Callithrix jacchus: one gene and its partner. The protein of the gene in region 2 interacts with the protein of the main gene of each other region in a pairwise test. Links are inferred from orthologs where the notes say so. Each region holds a gene or a part of one and is shown on either strand. Other genes may lie near its edges.

The links.
Region 1: the proteins of KASH5 (region 2) and SLC41A2 interact in binary tests that used the Homo sapiens proteins (3 or more experiments, as listed by UniProt). The two-hybrid records come from large-scale screens. The link is inferred for Callithrix jacchus from reciprocal best matches to the Homo sapiens genes KASH5 and SLC41A2.

Annotation. Positions count from the first base shown.
Region 1 is NC_133510.1:107,730,078-107,733,730, forward strand, and holds the end of SLC41A2 (solute carrier family 41 member 2), read right to left. Parts: intron 3,242-3,653; coding exon 3,056-3,241; 3' UTR 468-3,055; downstream 1-467. UniProt on the Homo sapiens protein: Acts as a plasma-membrane magnesium transporter. Can also mediate the transport of other divalent metal cations in an order of Ba(2+) > Ni(2+) > Co(2+) > Fe(2+) > Mn(2+).
Region 2 is NC_133523.1:43,175,911-43,178,838, forward strand, and holds part of KASH5 (protein KASH5), read left to right. Parts: intron 1-580; coding exon 581-639; intron 640-2,528; coding exon 2,529-2,574; intron 2,575-2,928. UniProt on the Homo sapiens protein: As a component of the LINC (LInker of Nucleoskeleton and Cytoskeleton) complex, involved in the connection between the nuclear lamina and the cytoskeleton.

The DNA of each region.
Region 1 (3,653 bases), on a different chromosome or scaffold from region 2:
TCTATGGTGTAGAATTTCTTGACATCTCCCAGAAGATGTATTACTGTAAGTTTCCATTTTATCAGGTTCTAAGAAACTTTATTTTTGAAAGAAAAAAATGGTGGGCAAGAAAGGAAAACGTTTTTAAGAGAGTTATCTGTGTATAAATAAAGTGGCTGATAAATTAGTGAAAGGAAGAAGTTTGGAAAGCAGAAGTTTTAATGTTGTATAAAAATAAATACAGTGAACTAACATTACTTAAGACTGATAATAGACGATTGTTGTGGGTAAGTGAAATGAGTCATTTTATCCGTTGCATACTTATGGGAAGGCTTTCAAAAGGTCGGTAATAACTTAAAGGAATCTACATCCCTTTTATAATCAGCGAATTGGTGACTAATGTGTTTTTTTTCTCCTATTACATGCCTTTTAGACATTTGGTTGTTCTAACCAAGGTGGGGTAGCAAAAGAGAAACGAGACAGAACTCTATCAGTCATTATATTTATTTACCAGCATTTACAGCAAATGGCCAGACCTGGGCAAGGTGGTAGCAATGATGGATTCTACGAATTAAGGCATTGTTTTTTATTTCAAAATTTTCATTTACCTGTATTTTCCTTGGTCTTAGAAACATGAATAATTTAGAGCTGGCAATACTCACCATCAGGATATAATAAATGGAGGTTTCTCTGTCTGAAATCGAAAAGATGTAGTAACACTCTATTGTACTTTTAAAAATCCTATTTTTCCAGTTGGCCTCCTTTCAGTTAATTAGTTAGGTAGTCTTGGTACATTTGGAGGGTCATAAACGTGTCATAGAAAGAGTACTGGCATTATGAAAACCTGGATGTTAGGGATTTCACAATTTGGTCATTTTGCAGCTGCACAACTTTAGAAATGTAAGTTCTCTGAATGTCAGTTTCCTCTGCTATAAAATAGAGATAGGAATACCCATCTGACATATTTTTCAGGTACTATTGTGAGTATTAAATAATATTGCATATTTGAATGTGCACTGGAATGTGTAATACAACAGACTAAAGTTGTTGATTAATGCTTTAAAAATGTAGCTTTCACTGTATGTTTTTTGTTAAAAAAATCAAAATAGAAATCAGTGGGAAATGTAAATGTTTATGAATCATACAGCCCAAATGTAAATAAGTAATTTACAAATGCTTTACAATAAAATCAAAGATATTATTCATGAATTTTTAAAGTAAAAAATCTTTGCAGCTAAATATTCATCAACTTAAACTTATTCTTTCTTTTATAAGAATGTTCACTATGTGACATTATAACTCTCCAAAGGAGAAATTCTATAATTAGTTCAGTTCTCTGCCTTAAAAGTTTCATTATAAGGCAGAAGAATGGAATAATTAAGTTTAAAAATAAGCAAAAATATATAATTCTAAACCACAGCCCCCTCATTTAAAAGAGCTTAACAAGAATACTTTTCCCAATGTACTTATAAACAACCTAATATTTATATAATAACACAAACGTACAACTTAAATCATGATGATCAAAGGTAATGTGCAATTTGATACCCTTATCAGCTTAAATTATTAAACATCTAATGGTCTTGAGAGACTGCACTGAATTTTAAAAAATGAACCACATGTGCTTTAAAAATGGTTACCTATTGAATATGGTGTTGGTCAACTGTTTAGAATATAGGCCAGAGTTTTAGAAAAATATTTGAGAAATACAGTATATATGATAGGGTCCCATGCAGAAATAAGCCTGTACAAACAGATATGTTTAAGCGTGAACAATAATTGAGGTAATCGACTAACTTCTTTTTTTTAAAGGGTAAGTCACAGGCTTCTTTAAAAAGAGCAAATGAATCACTTGCTCATTTTAAATTTCTTATCTTGATTATATTAAATAGTACAGTTTTTTAAAAAATAAGAAATAATTAATTAGAGTGTAGGTAACAAATTAGCTGGGTGCGGTGGCACATTCCTGTAATCCCAGCTACTCAGGAGGCCGAGGCAGGAGAATCACTTGAACCCAGGAGGTGGAAGTTGCAGTGAGCCAAGATTGAACCACCACATTCCAGTCTGGGTGACACAGCAAGACTCCATCTCAAAAAAAAAAGAATATAGGTAACAAATAGTAAATTCTGGTCAGTAGCAACATTTTTGGACCAATGGCAAAAACATATTAATGAAATGTTTAAGAATAACTATATTGCTGATATTCTAACAGCACTATGATCTTTGCTATCAGCAATCCAAGATTTAGTTCTTCATCAGAAGTCTCTCTCTCTCACACACACACATACACATACACAATTTCTCACATCATCTTGTCTCTACAAATGCATCTCAGGTTATCTTCTGTTTTTGAAAATTACATTTTCTAAAACACAACAACATTTTTCCAACAAATAAATGATCAAAAAATGACCCACTCTTTCATTAAAGATTTCTGGAGATCACTCCATGTTTAACAATTAGCCTGACAAGAACTTGCAGAACTGAAATTGAATTGACATTGGCACAGGGTAATTTTAGATGGAGGTAAAAGTGAGTTTATCTTATGCACAGCAAAACGTATTTAGGTTAGTTTAAATAGGAGCAATTGGTAAATTTATCCTCAGCTAACATAGAGGTGGGCAATGTTAAAACGATTCAAAGCTTGGTTGGGCACCCTTCATTTTATAGTATGCCTGGGATACGGCACATCTGTGAGACAACAAAGGCTAAGAGCTCTGCTTCTAATCCTGCATTACAAATTTAATAATCAAGTACATTTGCTATGTTTGTGGTTTTAAAATTATTCACTGTAAACATCCCATATTATTTCCTAATTAGTTTCAGAGCTGGAGTCTATATCTATGTCTATGTTAAATTATCATTTATTCTATGAAAAGCAGCACAAATACTGTTCATTCTGGTTTTGACACAAATTCCTTGAAAAAAAAAAGTTAAGGCCATTTAATCGGATCAGGGCCAACTGACAATTACCCTGGCAAAAGTCAAACTACTGATTTAAGAGTTTTGAAAAAGAGCCATAAGTGGTTGTAGTGTATCTTCTTCCTTGGTAACTTGACACAGTTTGTAGGATTTATTAGTCTCCAACATCTCCATCTCGATCTCCAATAAGCCAAAGAAAATGAAAACTTAAGGCTAACAGAGCTGTCCCGAGCAGATCACCCAGTGCTGTTAGGTAGGGGATGGAGAAACTGTCTGGGTCCTTTCCTTTCCTCCAGAAGTGATGGACCATCCAGTCAGCAATCCACAGCAAAGTAAATACCTAGAACAGAACACCAGAGATTACTCCTGCTGCCCGGACATTCCTAGCTTATGAAACATGGCCACAAGCAGAAACCACTAGCTTATGGAAGGAACAGCATGGGTCTAAGTCAAGAACCATGCTTGAAAAGAAGAAATATTTGACAAGAGTATTTTCATTTCACAAGAAAAAAATAGCATGCATGGTTACAGGTACTAAAATTTTTCTTCAACTTTTCACATAGATCTCATTTTATTCTAGCCTCACACTAGCCACAATAATTCTTATATTTTAATAGCATTGTACGGTTTCCAAAAGACTGTTTCTCTATTCGATAAACCTGTGAAAAAGGAAAACATTATGAAGAAGGAAATAAAAATTAAAATCAGGAATTATTTAACCATCTCCTGATGCAGATATGTCAAACACAGAA
Region 2 (2,928 bases):
GAGACAGAGGTTACAGTGAGCTGAGATCGCACCATTGCACTCCAGCCTGGGCAGCAAAAGTGAATCTGTCTTGAGGAAAAAAAGAAAAGAGGAAAACAATGTCAAGTGGGTCGTTGAGGTCAAGGGCAATGCTCATATTTCTCTGGAGAAAACAAAAGGTTCTTGGGTCCTGAGTGAGAACAGATGGACCCAGCCCAAGTCTGGGATGCTGGGAGGAAAAGGCGGTTGGGCAGGGAAATGCTGAGATCCTTTGGGCCCAAGTAAGTGTACGAGATCTGTGGGACATCCACGAGGTTTAGGTGACCAGGACTCCGGGGTCCTGCAGGACAAGGGGACTTGGTGACATCAAGAACAACCCTTTGGTCTCTGGCTTCTGCTCTTAGGGAGATAATAGGGTCATCCTCATATAGAGGAGCATGAGAGCAGGGCAGGTTGTAGAAGGTGGTGAATTTGTGCACAGGTTGCAGCCCAGAAGTCCTTTTGCTTATGGGGTCTGGGACCAGGGGGAGACTGGGCATTGTTAGGGTTGGGACTTTGAGTGAGAAGAATCAGAGAAGAACTAACCTTTTTGTTTCCACAGAGAAACTTCCAGGGAGAGCCAGCACACCCTGGAGAAGGAAGGAAGGAGCCATCCATGTGGTAAGGAGCTGAGCCGTCCATCTGCCTCAGGATGTTTAGAGTTGGAGGACTAGATGAGCCCTGAGGGGGTCTGCATGCCACCACTCACTCATTCATTTACATCTTCCAGGAGCAGACCCTGGGCAGGTAGGCTAGGAGATGAGACCTGGCCCTGCCCTCAGCGAGTCTTGGGACTAGGAGGAGATCTGGCTCCTGACCCTGCCTCGGGGGCGGGCTCCTAGGGAGGCCCTATGCCTGAATGGAGCCCTGTGGGAGTGGCATTAGTACAGGAGACTCTTAGACAAGAAGACACAATTGTCAGGCAGAAGGGACAGCTCAGTCACACGATCATTCTCTCACTGAACACACCTCTCCCAATGCTCCAGAAAACCTCCTTGGAGAGCTCCCAGTCACCTGGGAGATTTGGAGGGTGAGGAGGGTCTCTGCAATAAGCGTGGATTCAAATCCCAGCTCAGGTACTTCGAAGTGGGGCAGATGTGAGCATTAGGTCGTATGTTGTGAGGCCCCAGCCCTGTGATTGGGATATGATTGTTAGAGGCTGTGTCCAGGCCTGGGACGATGGAGAAAGCACTAGATGTCTGGGCCCACCCTCCTTCAGAACCCTGGCCTTGGGGCCTCTGGTTTCCTGTGGTGCTTCCCTCTCCCCTCCCCTCTTTCAGGCTCCCAGCTGCGGCTCCTAATGAGGCTGCCTGCCAAGGCCTCTAATTGGACTTGTCTGGGAGGAGCTGAGATTGGGCGGGATGGGAGCTCTGGAGCTATGACCTCCCTTTGCGTCACCAGAGAAAGGAGGGGGAAAGGGGCTGAGCAGTGGTGGAACAAGGGGAGGCAGGTACCATGCGAGTTTCCAGAGGGCAGGGGCAGTTTGATCCACAGATTGGAAAGCTGGGAGTGAGGAAGGTGGTGAATGCAATGGCCCCTAAAGGTAGCCAGCAGTGAGGACTTGGACCTTGAGAGGGGTTGGATCCCAAGTAGAAGTTTCTGGGCATCAGATAGTGTTTGTCTGACTGGGGCAGAGCTGGGGGGCCTAAGACCACTAGATCCCTTATTTCGTGGTAGCACAGCTGTGTTCCTGAGGGCATCTTTGAGGGTTTTGGGGCTGAAGCTTGTAGTGGTGGCAACTATAGGGCTGGATCCCTGGACCCCAATGAAGGCAGTGGCTGGTGGTGTGGATGGCAGGGACTCAGACGGCTGTGATCCTAGGAGGGGCCTCCCTAAGAGTCTTCCCCGGAGGCAGGGTCAGGAGCCAGATCTCCTCCTAGACCAGAGACTCGGAGGGCAGAGCCAGGTGTGACTCATCTCCTGGCCTACAGGCCCAGGGTCTACTGGAAGATGTGATTGAATGAATGAATGAGTGGCATGCAGCCCCCTCAGAGCTCTTCCTGTCCTGGAAGAGGGGCTTACACACCCAAGAGGATCTGGGATGGGGAAGAGCTCCAACCGTTGGATTCTGTGCGTGGGAAGGTCCCAATTGGAGTCCCAGTTCTCCAAGAACACCCAGTGAGAGTCATGGAAAAATGGCTCAACCCACTACATAGGAAGGGGGTTTCTACACATGCTCTAGGGTCTCAGAGAGGCCTGAATCTCTGGTATTTTGGAGAGTGAGAGAGCCGGAAGCCTCAGTTCCCAGCTGGGGTATCAGCTGGGGAAGTAGTGGCTGAGAAAGCAAATCTGAGATGAAGAGGCCCCTTATTCTTCTGGCATTCAAAGACCCTTTCAATAATTTGGTGAAAATTCCCCTGAAAAATACATATGCAGAACACCCCTGAGGCCCTTCCATGCTGCCTGGCCTGTGCTAAGACCCCTGCTCCTAGGCTTCCCTCCCAGCCTGTAGCAGGCAAAGGGAACTAGGGAGAAGAGGAGGATGCCAGCAGTGACTTTGTGGTCCTCAGGTTAACCAGAAGAGAGGAAGAGGAGGCTGCGGCGAGCCAGGTCACGGTAGGCAGTCCCCAGAACCCCTCCCCGGTCCCCATCCACTCCAAGCCCGCAGAGGCTCAATTGTTTCAACTCTTTCCCAAGCCCCAGCCTCAGACCCCTCAGGAGCAGAGAGGAAAATCATTTGGCCAAGAGATAACAAGGCCCTTGCTGTAACTAATGAGACAGAGCGATAGTGAGGTGGGGGGTGGCTTGGAGGCTAGTGGGCGGCCAGGCTGCTCCCAGGGGACTCCTCCAGCCACACACAAGGCTGCAGTCGCCATACGGCAGGCCTCATAGACGTGGCTACACCCACGGATTGCATAAATGCACACGCACATTCGCCCACACTCGGAGGAGGTTGGGCTGGCCCTCCCC